Linked DNA regions of Drosophila melanogaster. Changing the gene in region 2 together with the main gene of any one other region gives a genetic interaction. Each region holds a gene or a part of one and is shown on either strand. Other genes may lie near its edges.

What was found. Genes that interact genetically often act in the same process or in processes that back each other up.
Region 1: of shf (region 2) and fz2, changing one suppresses a phenotype caused by changing the other (phenotypic suppression), as found in Drosophila melanogaster (one study listed by BioGRID).

The regions. Positions count from the first base shown.
Region 1 is NT_037436.4:19,230,412-19,238,257, forward strand, and holds the start of fz2 (frizzled 2), read right to left. Parts: upstream 4,963-7,846; 5' UTR 4,603-4,962; exon of another isoform or gene 4,394-4,602; intron 2,162-4,393; 5' UTR 1,913-2,161; intron 1-1,912. Other genes in the region: CG33647 (uncharacterized protein), read left to right, coding at 5,949-6,023, 6,083-6,400, 6,467-6,646. UniProt on the Drosophila melanogaster protein: Receptor for Wnt proteins.
Region 2 is NC_004354.4:6,775,650-6,783,331, forward strand, and holds the start of shf (shifted), read right to left. Parts: upstream 4,011-7,682; 5' UTR 3,762-4,010; intron 1-3,761. Other genes in the region: C3G guanyl-nucleotide exchange factor, read right to left, coding at 6,705-6,837, 6,912-7,043, 7,121-7,246, 7,314-7,682. UniProt on the Drosophila melanogaster protein: Required for normal accumulation and movement of lipid-modified hedgehog (hh) morphogen. May act by stabilizing the interaction between heparan sulfate proteoglycans (HSPGs) and hh, HSPGs being required for diffusion of hh morphogen.

The sequences.
Region 1 (7,846 bases), on a different chromosome or scaffold from region 2:
ATCAGAAAGTGTTGGGGATCTTGCAGAATATTTTTTGGCATTCTACGAAGAGTTAAATAAAAGTATAACTCTTTTACCCTATGGACTCCTTTAACTAAACTTCAATGTTTATGTACTTTTACAAATTAGATAACTACAGAAGTATTGTCAGTTTTCCTTGCCATTTGGGAACTGGAAATACCCAAGTTTTCATCTCATTTCATCAAATATATCACTATTTCAATAATTCTATTAAAATAATCCATGTTTTCAGAACTTATTCACAATGGTGCCGAATAAAAGCCTCTGTCCCGAGCTCAATTCAAAATAACAACAAAGCGGTTTACCCCTTTTGCCAAGGTTATGGCAAATAACAACAACGGAGCACTAGAGCAAAGTCTGCAGCGTCTACACTCGCTTTGTCTGCTTTTCCCCACTTTTCCCCCGACTTTCCCCATTTCCCGGAGACTCTCTTCGCTCTTTTGAACGCGCTCTCCGTGCCGTCGCGCTCTCCCCGCAGGATTTTCCCTTTTTTTTATATATACGTATATTCTGCAGTCGACACTTTGGGGGTGGTTAGATAAAATGTGGAAATTGTTGAAAATGCCGCCCGCCTCTCGGGCAGCCGATGGTGCTGCATCGTTATGTGGGAAAACCCGGGTCGACGGACTTGGATGCCGCCTTTGCCGTTTTGGGGGTGGTTGTTGGGTGGAATGGAATGGAATGGAAGGTGCGACTGCGACAGACGAAGGACGTCAAGCGACAGACGACGGCGGAGGCAACTGTTTTCACTCCATGTCCTTGCCACCGTCTTTCGCTCCTCCGCCTGCTGCTGCTGCTGCTTCTTCCGCTGGCAGGCATTTTTCAAAAATTTGCTTCTTTGGCTTACACGGGAATAAAAGGTTTTTTAAAAACTGAAATATTTTTTAGCAACTAAATATGCTAAGTATTTGTAAATGTATGAACAACATTTAGGCACGATCAGTATTTTCTATTATTTATTAAGCGGTGGTTATTAAATATTATTTCAAATGCCATATCTTACATTATTTGGAACGAGAGACATCGTTTTTTCCCTCAGTACACTTTCTAGCCGTTTTTCCGATTTCCTTTTTTTGGGGGAAAACTCGGCAGAAATAACAACAATTTTGCCACTCATAAAAAAGGCAAGAGGCGATGATGGTGAGTAGGGGGGAAAGGTCCTGATCGGGGGAGGGGATGAGGCGTAAAAGAGGAAGTAGGAAATTTGAACTTGGGCTTGTGATGTATGTCCGATGTCTGTGGAGACCCAAAAACTGCCAATGCGGCCGACCACTGCGGCAGAGTTTTCCCTGGTCGAAATGAAAATGGCAGACGAGGACGTTAAGCGATGGATGGGCAGTTGCCACCGGGTGGTTTGACCTCTCACCCCTCCCCATTCGCTCCTCGGCCATCCAGCAAGCTGGTGAAAGTTGCCCTTGAATGGTGTTTTCTGGATTATGCCCTGTTCCCTCTCGATCCCCCGAATACTCAGACCCCTTCGTCTAGGCTTTTTCCTCGCGCCCTCTCTCTGTGTGCGAGTCCATTTTCCTGGCTTTTCCTGCATTTCCAATTGAGTTTTGGGTACGGTGTTTTAGAGCAAATTGAAGTCGATAAACAGAAGTCCAGGAAAAGCTATAGGCAATCAACATATGAAAATAACAACACCCAGCTGTGAAGCAGAGTTGTGCTCGAAATACTTGATGGAACAAGAAGTACGGTCTTGTGTGTGTGGAAAAACATTATCATCTTTCAAGTTTTCGCATGTACATTTTACATTACAGTAGAATGTAATTATAATGCAATAATATTTATAGTTCTTCTAGAAGAAATAGCTTTGCAATCTCTTTTTTATTATTTCATATTTTATACCTTATAATAGACATATAATTGTTTAATGGTTGTTATAACTCACCTCCAAAATGAGTTCCTTTGATGTTCTCTTGGGCAGTGTAATTGGTATATTTTGTTTTTATTGGCGTTTAAAATTGCTATTTCACTTGGGTTTATTGTATTTCTATATTTATCGGTTTCGGATCGTATACGTTTGCATTAGCACGGCGCGGAACGGAATGGTTGCATTTTCGTATATTCTATATATAGGCGTTTGCTACATCAGATTGCTGATTATTTTGGCTGGAGAGATCCGCTTGATTTGACGAACCTGAAAAAGATATTGCCAATTAATTGTTGATCACGTGCAAGTGGCTAAAACAGCTATTAAATAGAAAACAAAGGACTTGCAGGGGGCAACCAAAACGCAGACGTGTAGTTTGCTGAAAAAAAAATTGAAAATAGAAAAACACAGACGACAGGTGTGAGTGAAAAGGTGTAACCCGGCCAACAACAACTAAATCAAATCGCAGGAAAATGCCTGCATTTTTCCTCTTTTCCCCTTCCGCCGCCCATCCATCGCTTGGCTGGATCTCAATGGGCTCTGGGGCAAATATTTTAAATGCGCAGATTTTTGGCATGTTTTAGTGGCAGTTCACGTTTTGAATTGTTGCCATGCCCCTCGGAAACGGTCCAACGCTCGTTTCACTGACAATTTAATACAAAAAATGCCAAACATTTTCACAAAATAAAAGGACCAGCACAAAAAGCCAACGTGGAAAAGTTTGGCAGTCGTATAGCGTGTGTTAACCCTTTAAAATACCCAAAAATATATGTGTTCGTACGTGTAAGCCGGGCTATGATAAAAAAGTTGTTTGGAGCGAAATTGTAGGTTCCTTTTTTATGAATGTGCTTTGCGAAGATATAAATGAGACACCAGTGGGTGTGTGGAATAGTTCAAAAGCCATTTGCATTAATGAAAAAGAAAAATATTTCAGTGAAATATTTAATACACTCAATCAGAAGGAAGTAGAGGGAAATTAAAATTAAGATTGGGTTTAATCATTACTTCAAAGAACTAAATAAATATTGCATAATTAGAAATAACAAGAAACAAAAATTAATTATTATTTAGGAAAATAATTAACCAAAATGACCAAATTTCCTATTTATTTAACCCAAACGCAAATATGAATAATATTCTTCGTTGGCCAGAGAATGTAAACATTTCTGCACTTATTGCTTCGACATTCCCTTAGCGTTTTGCATAATTTAACACACGGGTTAGGCTGTGACCCCTGCAAGAGCCACCCCCCGGATTTCCCACCCGCTGAGTCTGGAGCCCGGCCCCGCCCCCATTTCTTGCTAATACCATTCCGCCCCTTTCGACCAGAAGCGGTGCGTGTGCTTGCTGCTCCCATTGAAATGCCAGACTAACTCAATTAGAGTGCGCAGACAGAAGTTGAAGTTGAGTGTTACTTTGACTGCCGGCCAACATGCGAGTGCAAGAAAATATTTATAAATATTTCGAAACATCTGAAACTGCTCCTATTTAAAATGTAGGGAATTAAAGAATGCAATGATGTGGGGAAAAAACTTGAAGACGCGTCTCAATAAACAGACAGCCGGATAAAAGAGTAGGAAACTCGGCAAAAGTATCTAGATACTTTTTGCAGCTAGGTAGCTAGCTATGAGATACTCTCACAAAAACAGCAGCAAAAGCAACAGTGCTGTCTGGCTTGTGAACTCGACTCGTAAATGTACACAGAAAAAAATTGACCTGTCTTGGATCAATTCTTTATTGATTATTTACAACAATCTTATTGTTTTCAACATTATTCCACAAATGCAAAAAAAATCGTTCAAATTTAGACTTTAATTAAAAATAATATTGTCTTTGTTAATGAACTTGAATGAACTTTAATAAAGTGTAATAAGGTGTAATAAGGAAAAAGAAATAAATATTCGAACTTACATTTATAAAAAAAATGTGAAATTCCGAAAAACTTTAACAAAAATGGTCAAGAAATCAACAAGTTAAAAAGTGTATTTTTAGCGTTGTTGGAAATATAAGCTTATGTAAAGTTAAATATATTCTTTTATATTCTGGGCAAAAAAAGCAATATAAAGAGTATTTAGTCCTTTAAAGCTACGTCGAAATATCTACGTTTAACATTTGAATTTATAAAAAGTTTATGTTCTTAAACAAACAACAACTGAAACAAGATGTGTACACTCAAAATTTAAACTTATAAGTGGCTGAGTTTTCCTCCCTGTGTGCGAAAAACACAACAGAAAACAAAAATAAAATGCAAACAACGGAAAAGCGGAAAAAAAGAACTTGGCGTCGTCTGAGTTTAGCTCTCTGTGCTCTCTTTTCTTTTGCAGCTGTGTGAGTGTGTGGCTGTTGTTGTCTTTCCCATTTTCCCGTAGAAAATGTGAATGATTTTCCTTCACTTTCATCAACAGCTGCGCTCACACAAATGCAAGAAGTACTCATTTTCGAATTGCTTTTTGTTATTATTTTAGATACACAAATGAGTTAGCTTTTTCGTATCTTTACCGTTTGGCTGTGTTTTTGTTGTGCTGATTTTATATTTGTTGTGTTTTTGTATAAGTTTATTACTAATATATTTTTATTTGTTTGTATATTTTATTTGCAGATCTCTCGATTTCTCGGTTTTGTGTTCTTCGCCGGCTTGCTATTTTGCAAATGCCGCCGAAATTGCAATCAATTGCAGTTTTATATCTCCAGCTCACACAGATACTCACGCACACTCACACAAACACACACCAATGCGCGACGGCGACTGCGACGCCAACTGCGACTGCGGCGTCGACCGCGCTGCTCACGTCGTATGTCCGTTAATTAAACGCGCGATTTTTTGTTTGTTTCGGTTTTTACATATTATCTTTTCATGTGCTTCTCTCTTTTGTTTTTATTCCGCTTTGTTATTGTTATTAACTATTGTTATCAGCCCTCGGCGCTGCCAACGTCGACTGCGCTGCCTTTCGCGGCTGCTTTTTGGCTTTTTTTATTTCCCGTCTGCGGTGTAAGCGTCTGCGATTTTCACGTTTTTCCTTCTGCCGCGCTGTGTAGTTTTTCCGGTGATTTCCACTTGCCAACTGACTTTCTTCCGACTTTTCCAAACGGCCGGCCGTTGTTTTGCAAAATTCGCAGAGAGAGAGCGATAACGATTAAGAAATGCGGGGGAGGAAAAATAGAGAGATGGAATTACAAATGCGCCGGTCCAAAAAGCTCGCGAAACGATTTGGTAAACGGAACAGAGCTACGTGAAACGTAAGGCCTGCCCGGAATCACGTAACGTAATCACCAAACGAATCACCAAACGTTAATTTTTTGAAACAAGTTTCTGCAAAATAAATAAGTCATTATAAAATATATTAGAGCTATAAATTTATGCAATGTTATTAACGAAAATATTTTGTATGCTAGACTGGTCGAATGGACCAATAAAAAAGTAATTTCGCACCACTTATTCAAAATATGATGAAATCGTCCTGAATCTAACCAAGAAATTAGTCATAGAAATCAAAAATAAATTAAATATAAATGCGTAATAGTATGGATAGCCCATTTAAAGAAGAATTAATAGGTATCAAGATAATTACTTCAAGGGCTTTGATAGAAATTATATTCAGTAAAATCGCGTTCGCAGTAAAATAAAGAAAACGTATAAGTTCTAGCTAAATCATCACTCATCTTAAACCCGTTTTTCTTTTTTAAGAATACAAATTATTTCAATATGTTATTACTAGAAAACTATTATTAAGCTGATTCTAAATGCTTCATATTCGTGCAAATTTGTTTCAGATCTCCCACTCTAATCCGTATTAATTATTATAATATAATATTATAATATATTATAATATAATAATTTTATAGTATTATTTTATACTATTAGTACTTTGCGCATCTCCAACTTGAAAAGTCCAAATAATTTACCGATATTAATGTTCTATCAACAAAAATAAGCAATTACAAATTAGGTAATACACTAATTGAGCACATTAAAAACCCATTTATTTTAAAATATACACACCTACGTGCGTTTGAAATGCATTAGATTTTAGTCTTCAATTAGTTATCCACTAGTATGAACGTCAAAAAGCTTTTTATATTGGTTGACCTGATTCTGGGGACCCTAATCTTGAGCAGTGTTCGTGCAGAGGTCAGTAGTATAGAATCATATATGTAAGTCCTACTACATTAACCTATCTCAACGTATAGAAAGAAGTTTTTATGACGAAAATTGAGTGCCTCAATTATATGCCAGAATTGGTGAGAAACGTAAGCTGCTACTTAAATGAAACTTCCCACCCCACTGGTTCAATATACGCAGAGTTCATATTAACCCAAGATGTTGAGGACCTGAAGGGCATTTACATTTTGACATTTAAGAGAGGTTCATACGTGACGAATTTTACCTCTTCACATGTAGACTATTGTCAGATGCTATCAAGTGTGGAAAATCATTTTTTATTTAGAATGGTTACTACGCAGCTTCGCGAAACCGCCAATTTTCCTATACAATGTCCGTTGAAAATGGTAATTAACACTGGTAAGAAATTGTATAAAACTCTCTAATATCGTATTTTGGAAATTGTGTTTTAGAATAAACGGTATTACGCAAAGGGATTTACAGTTAACTCGAAATTTATACCCAGCTATATGCCAGAAACGAACTTCATTTCGGACGCCCATTTAAGCGTTAAGGATCGCAAAGTATTTCGGTTGCTTATTAAAGGTCGCTTTTCTAGAATACTTCGGCGAAATTATATTAAAACCGAATAGATCACTATATAAATCAAAATGTGTAATTGCAAAATAAATGGATTTTTTTTACTTACAATATTTTTGTTATACATATTTACAGAGAATTAAAGCTATAAATAAGCTACTAAAAATAATCGTTTAGTTGAAATCGTCCACTTTTGTAACTAAAAGCTTATTTAACCAATTGAAGCTAATCAAAGCTGTATTCAGCAAGCCGAAGCTTAAATGTCCTTGCATTAATTATCAGTGATAGTTTATGATCAATAACAACAACACTATGATTTCTATCCCGATATCCCGATCTTATAAATAATAAAATTGTATTAACTGTTGGAGTCGGAAATATATCACCATATCTGACGCACATGGCTATACCGACTCAGTTGTTCACCCTGATCATTAATATATGTATATATAGTCACAAATTTCTGCATCACTGCGTTGCAAACTTCTTAATGATATCCATATACCCTCTGCAAGGGTGAAAACCTAATAAAAATGAAAAGCCTATCAATGGAAGAACTGATCGGTAACGGAATAGTTTTAACTCCATATATCGTATGTATCAGATCATTTCATAATATTTTGCCATTTAAAAATTGGAATCATTTAAGCCCGACTTATTGAACAGATACTTAACGACTTTTAAAAATGATTCAATGTTTTTAAGACAATATTTGTCATTTCTTGCGCTGCAATAAGATTTAAATCAGCAAAACTAACATATCTGTTCCTTAAGTCATATTATTTAATATTTATCCTTATAAATTCGATAACTTTTTTGTGTTAAAATACATAGTTCTAAATGTAACATATATTGGTTATTCCCTAGCTTAACGGAAATATCAAAAACTACGATAGCCTGATATTTTGCCAAACAATCGATTGTGTTTGAAATCGAAATAAGTTTGTGGACATGGGCCTTCATCCAGGATAATGGACATGAAACGTGTAGCGCGCATGATCCTCTCACACAAAATGTAGCTCTCTCAAGTACACAAAAACAAAAGCCTGGCTAACAGCCCAGAAGGGGGTTAGTCCTCGTGAGGGGAGGGGGCCAGAAGCACCCACCGTGCCGATGTAGAATATGACTGTATTGGTAATGGCAGCAGCAGGGCCAAGAACTGCCGGCCGGTGTCTCCACCAACTGAATGCGGTCAGGCAAAAAGCCCAAGTGGCCAAATGGAGGAGTTACCTGATGGGTCGAATTATTGCTTC
Region 2 (7,682 bases):
CAGCCAGAAGCCAGACGTTTAACACGGCCAACAAGTGAACGGACAAAAGAGACCCAGTGATGACACTTTGACCTTTTTTCTTTGGCCATTTAAAATACAAATTCTTATTCAGATATCTTATCACATGAGTAAAAAATTCGCATCATCTAAAAGCCTAGCTTAAAAGTGGCTTTATCTGAGAGCAGGTTGGCTGGCTTTCACATTAAGATTTCCAATTTCCAATTCCAAGCTCTATAGGGCTCTGAAGAAATCACTGAGGAAACTCACAGCACCACTGACTGGACAAGCGATCGATCGAGCATTGTCCGTCCATGTCCCGTCCATCACGTATGAATGGGTTGATTCGAGATCCGGGGACAGGGCAAACGACGATGATGGGCAAGAAAACAAGTTAAGCTGTCTTAATAAGATCAAACATGGCGATTATGAGGAATTACTTGGAGATAATGACATCGTCCAGCGACTCAAAGGGCTCGGACTCTCGAAGATTGTGCTCTGGGATCATCGGGCAGCAAGACCGAAATCCAACTCCAAACTTATCTGCAAAACGGCCCCTGGGAAATGAATTCGTTAAGTGAACTAATTGCTCTTGTGGATGCCCAGCGTGCATGCATGAATATATCCGATGTGTATATCCAGATAGTAATTGAATCAGTGGTTAAGAAATCGTAGGCGGAAGTAATTCATGGAGCTGGCATATTACAACGCAATATAAATATATGTATGTAGAACATAAACGGGAACGTCATATGGCCATCACAGATTGGAATTGAAATTGGATTCGAAATCGGGATCGTGTGGGGATCTCGGGATCGGGACCGGGCCAGACCTCGATTTCCTATAAATACGATGTTCACGCTTTGTTTTGAAATTATTTTTATTTCGTGCTAATTAATGGTCGGTCGGCCGATAAGGAAGCACATGATGGCGATAGCCGGCACCGGCGCATAGATAATCCCACTCATGGTCAATCTAAGTCCGAATCAGAATTGGAATTTCCAGCTAAGGCGCATTCGCAGCGCAGGCTGAGGAAAGCTTAGTCAGCGTGCAATTAATAGGGAGATATTCATAAAGGTGTAAAGTGTATATATATAAACATATATATCTATATAAGCATTAACTTAACCCCTTTTCACCATTACACTGAGCAGTTAGCAAGCACTCAACTACTGTTGGACTGAAGAATTCGCGTGTCTGTTACTTTCCCTTCGTTTGGTTGTGAGAGGATCAGGTGCAGTGCAGGGAAGTGGTTATCAAACACCGTATCAGGTCGATGGAATGAAGATGAAGATGGCCATGCATTGTTAGTGCTGTCGTCAACGATATAATTGCTTCAGCTGGAGGAAAAGGGACAGATTAACATTTTAGCGTGAAAGAAGAGAGATGAGGAGATGGAGGAGGTGGAGTGGCAGTAGCAATCAAAGTAGGAACGGCAGCAGCGCAACAACAACAATTTGTTAGCTCTTTACGATTATTGCCTTTCTCACACCTTATTACCAAGAAAATAAAGAAGCAGCATCCACAGGGGCAACAACAAATACTCGACGATGAGACGTGAAAATAAAAAATTAAAGAACCCAAACACACACACAAGGTACGACAAAAGGCAACACAACGAGAACAAGAAGCTGCCCCTTGGAGTGGCGGAGTGGACTCGACTGGACTGGAGTGGACTGGAGTCGGAGTGGAGTGGGATCGGATGGGATGGGATGGAACTGAGACTGGAAAAGGAAGTGGGGGCGGAGGAGAGGCACTGGAAATCGCACACTCACAGCCAGCCATTAATGGTGTACTGCAGGTGCAAGCGAGAGGCAAGTTGTTCATAAACAATCCCAACGTAAAAAATGACATACACCGAGAAAAGAAACCCTATCGATTCCAAATTACCCATGCAGTAGTTATCCAAAACAAATGTGTCGAAACCGAGATATTACACAATATTTTTTGGATATCTTAGGCTTATTTTACAGATATATAAGTACATACGAATTTGCTCAGATCAGATATCAGGATCAAGTGCTTTGAAAATATCCAAACATATCATATGTTTCTCCCTGTGTAGTATAGAGAGTACAAGCAATTTGTTGACTCAAAAAGACAAAGTCATCGGCTAAAAGGATTTCGAATGAAAGAGCAAGCCAGATGAGCAAGGATGAGCGAGTGAGGAGAGTTACATACTTTCCCGGCTACCGATTTAAATGATGTCCAGTAACAACAACAACAACAACAACAGCAACAAGTGGCACTTGCAGCTCTGTTTGCTTAATGAAACAACAGCGACACACTCACACTGGCACACACAAAGTAACACCAAGCGACTGTGTGAAACACCAACAAAAACACCTTGGGCAAATAATGCAGACAGGACGGCCACAGTCGACTTGCTAAATACCCATCAAGTGTTTGGACATTGGCCAATTGGAAGCATATTGTTTCTTGAGCATTCATGTGTGTTTTACTTTAAGAAAAAGTAAAAGTATCTGTAGGAACAAATGTATCTACAAGATATTAAAGTATCTATAAGATACAAAAGTATCTATAAGATACAAAAGTATATATAAGATACAAAAGTATCTGCTGGATTTTAGTGCATCAGCTCAAGGTTATTATGCCTAATTTCTAAGATTATTATTTTCTCCGTGTAGGTCATAGCTGTGACACCTGACCTAGAGGGTGTTGGCCTATTCGTGATGCTCTAGACTGGCGCAGCCCATTAATCCTGGTTGCTACTCCTACTGATGATAACGATCACCAATTGAGTGGCAAAAGGGAGTGGGAGGAGGAGGGGTAGAAGTAGAAGGAGGGGAGCCAGACAACAGGCGGATAAAAACGCCTGTCTCCAAGTGGACTCAAGTGCCGCAGGAGGTGGAGGTTGGAGTTGGAGTTGAAGTTCAGGTTGGTGGACGCGGAGCTGGAGAGGGGGCAGCGCAGCGAGACACGCAGGCTGCCGGACAACCGGCAGCATGGGCATCAGGACAAGCAGAAGAAGCAGCAAAGTCAGAAGCAGAAGCTACTTGAGAGCCACAGAATTCCGATTCCGATGAGGCGATCGTGTGTCTATATGTATGCATGCTGGAGAGTCAGGCATTCCACTCCACTCCACTCCACTGCAGTCCACTTCATTACCAGTTCGCAGATCGCCGCATCCAGCATACAGCTCCAAGGAGCTGGCAATCAAATGGCCAACGTTGGACAATGACTTTCACGCCTTTCGAGCGCGCCAAAACGAACATGTCAAGTACAGCCGACCAGCGGGCATCCCAGATACCCTACATACCTCGGTAGCTTTGGCACTTGGGTATTAGTTTTACGACAAATTTTCGAATAATCTTGGCACTATCAGTTTAGTTTCGAAATGGCCCAAACTATCATTCCGTTAGGGGAAAGTTAAGATCAAGAATCTGCCTGCGAAAAAGTTATATTCGCTAATTTAGCTTATCTGTTTTGGTTTTATATCTGTGCACTTCTCACATGCAAAATTCTGCCCGTTTTCAATTGCACTTAAGCCTACAATCTGGACATCAACTCTCGATCTTTCGATCAATCGAGCAAGGTGATTTGAATGGCCAGGTGAGATACCCATTGATATGGGTAAAAAATATGCAAGTGCTTTCGCACTTCAGCGGTTTAGTTAGTTCTTATCACAAAATTGCGCTAGTGCGAGATTAAAACTCTGCATGTCTAGCAATATTTTCACAACAATCACATAAACTTAGGATCACAGGTTAGTTTTCAATTTCAAATTTGCACACTTTACGTACTCGTTGGCTGTCGCCGGCTTGAAACAAAAAAAAACAAACAGTCGTTTCGTTGACAAAATACAAGGGTGTAAAAAACAAGTAAAGCTTGATTTGTTGGTCCTTTATGTTCCGATTTACATGAGCCTTAAACTTTGCACGTATTTCGTTGGCTCGAAAGCTCCTTTGGGGCTTGAACACAAACGCGAAAAGAGTCGGTTTCGACACTTGAAAAATCCCGCAAAGTTTCGTGGCGCGACCGTCGCACTGCAGCTCCTGAGCTCATCTGAACAAACCAACGAAAACCGGCGAACGTTTCGATCGCAGCGCAGTGATGCCCGCTCCCTCGATCGGATCGCTCTGCTAAAAAGAAAGGAAGAACACATGACGCTTAATTGCCAAATTCCCCTTAAATTCCCATCGAATATTAAGTATTAATGAAATGACTGTCATAAAATTAGGCGCGTATAGAACTGTACAATAAATTATGATTATTTTGGAAAATTGTTGATAGAAAGTACGTACCTTCCAATGCATTCGTTGAACTCTACAAACCAGTTGGCCATAGTTTATTTATACAAAAGTGCTTCTGAGTATTGGTATTTGGTGAGGACATAAAATCTAATGGCGCTTTGTATTGCACAGAAAAAAAAATAGCCAAATTGGCATCACTACTGCGGTTGCCTCTCTCGAACCTTCAAACAATTCTCTCAAACCGCTTCAAGCCGCAACCTCGCTCTTAAAAGCATTAAACAATTTAAATTTAGTAACTGCTTCTTTGTATCAAAGGCAGATTGTTAATTGTTTAAAAAAATGGGTTAAATAATTAATTTGATTTTTTTCCCAAAACATCGTCCGCTACAAATGATCGATTTTTGGCCAAAGTTCATACCCAGATTTTTGGCGATATAAATCCTATATATACAAAATTAAATAATTGTCATTACGCTCTGTTATAAATGCGAATGTGTCTGTTTACAAGTCGTACAAAACAGTGCCACTCTTTTCGGCTAAGTTATTGAAAAAGCCCATTCAAAATTATTAAATTTTTGAAATTTTTTGAAAAATATAATCAGTTTTCTTTTGGATAGCAACAAAGAGAGTTGAACAATATTAGAATGCCATGCCCCACTAAACTCAAAATTAAATTTCCCATTTAACTATATTTAAACATGGAAACGGTAATTTTATCGAAAATTTCGATGACTTACACCCTTATCGAAAATGCGAACATTTTTATTTCGAATTTAAATAGTCATATGTGTTTATTGGCCGTACAATAAGGAAAAATCCTATTTCGACAATTGTTTTTATTTCAATGACTTCTGGAAAGCAACGTAGCCCATGTTCCTTTTCCCCAATAAAAATGCGTTTTGCAGATAAAGGAAAAATACATTGATTGTGGTAGCTATTTTCATTCTTATGAATACACACATAACATTTAAATACAAATACATTTACAATTGAAAATTTTCTCTACATATACAAAATATTTAATTTAAAAATAGGTGAAAAAAAAAAACAAGAATAAATTGTTGTCCCTAGGTTCGTTAGCTTAGTAAACACAATTGATGCGCCAGCGGCAGCGGAAGCAGCAGCAAAAAGAAGATCGAATTCACTCAACACAAATTAAAAAAAAAAATTGACTTTTCTTTTTGTTTATTAAAATGGCTATGGTGATCGGGAATTAAATTCTTCAAGTAAGCAGCCTTTTTTTCTGTTTCCCATTTCTAAATAAGAAGACATTATTCTCAGACGAGACAGAGTATTGCTTAGTAAAAACAACTTGAGGTCGATTTCATTCAGTTTTAACTCTGCTTTCAGATTTCTTCTCATGATTAATATTTTTACACGCAATATCAATAAATTTATTCCTCACAGAATTGAAAGGAGAAGTCAAAGCGTTATTTAGAACTATTATTACATGCCCATAAATATTTTTAATGTTAGTCGTACATTTAAAAGCAAATTGAATTTAGTTAATCTCTTCCACAGGTTCCTCGCCTTTTTTGTTTTTTTTTTTTTTTTTGTATTTTTTGTATTTTGTTTTGTTTTGTAACTTTAAAAGTTTCTTCAATTAATTGAGTCGCAAAATGAATTTTTGATTGATTTCATTGATTGATTGATTTGATCGATAGATACCGCCTTCTGTTTTCTGTTTCGTGCACTCTGAAATCTCTGATTTTGATTTTGAGTTCAATTTCAATTTGAATAACTTCTAACACACATACACACACACGGGTATTTAATATTGGTTGTTTGGAGAGAGAATTGCATATAACGCGCTTTGTGCTAGGGTTCGCTTGGTGTTCTGCTCGTGGATTGCATCGATTTATAGTCCGAGATATCGCTACATATATCGTCGAATATAGTTTGTCGGTTGGCCTCTACGTTCACGTAGCTTGCTTTCAAAATTCGTTGTGTTCTTGTGTAAAAAAGAGATCTCAAAACAAAAGCGAAAATTGCTGATTTCTTGATTGGTTGTCTCTGGTGGTAAGTAAGTTAGTTAGTTAGTTTGGTGTTCTAGTGCTGGCAAAAGTCCGGGAAAAAGTTTTTGGGACTCGCAGACAGGGATTCGGATTCGAATATTGGTGGGGAGTTAGCTGAGGTTAGGTCCATCGACCCAATGACTCATAGAGCTTAATAGTTAAACTACAGATCGGCTCGTTATTTGTACGCGGCTACATGTATCCGTATCCGTATCTGAATCGCTACATCTTAAGTAAGTATGTATATGTATTTCCGATTCGGCATCGGCTGGTAATTACAGCTAAATATCTTGTATAATTGTATATATATAGACAGAGAATAGCGAACATTATTGCTCAGACCCATTAGAATAGTTGTTGGCTGCTCCCGATGCTGATCCTCCTCCTAGACGTGGCAACCGTTTTGAACTGTTTAATTAATACGGTGTATATACTTTATCATATATAATATTGGTGTTTTGCTGTTGCTGCTTGAAGACTAATAGTTAACGGGGCGGCGTCCACGCGGCTTGATCTTCTCCGATATCTGCCACATCTCCTCCTCGCCCATAAAGTCCTTGAAGTTATCAAAGAAGCGTATAATGCGCTCGTTGCGTCGAAATGGATAGGCACTGCAGCAGAAAAAGAAAATTGCGTGAAGTGAAGTGAAAGAAGTGATTATAATTGAATGAAAATTGATAATTACCATTTCTTAAAACGTTTCATGTTGTCAATTATGTTGTACTGCTGCCAGCGCTTGGAGAAGTTTATGACGCCCTTGGACAAGTAGTCCTGGTTGCCCACATGCACAAACGTTAGATCCTGCAGAATTAGGCCGCTGGAACGAACGAATTGATAATTAGCTTTGGCTTTCGTGATTCTAACAAAAAAAGAAACATCAGATCAGATCCTTACATGTAGGGTATGCAGGGCGGATTAGTTTCGGCCAGCGCCTGTCGATAGGCGCGAAAACTGGAGCTGGAATCGATGAGGGCGCAGAATGATCGCACCTCCTCGGTGATGCCTTTTTGCCACTCCAATCTGCAGGACATGGTATATCAACATATCAATGGTATATCAATAGCTTCAGTGGGCCAGTAGAACCTACCTTCTTATGGGACCCGAATCGAGGGCCGACAACAACGCCAGATACGAGTTGTAGTTGTTCATCTTGCGTAGATGCTTCATGATTTTGATAAACTTGTTCACATGCTTCTCCCGCTCCTTGGCATCCTGCAGGCGCAGGATTTTGGAGCGCGCCCAGTAGGACATCTTGTTGAAGTGCTCGGTGAACTTGTTTAGGTTGGGCGACTTCTCCTCGCACTGATCTTTGGCAAATAGTAATACTTCGGGTATCTCGATCTTCGTGAACAGCTCCGCATCCAGCAGCGTCATCTGTTCGGCAATCTCCAGCGACTTGAGGTCGAGCAGACTAGGCTGGTTTCCACCACCAGCTGTACCACTGCATCCACCACTG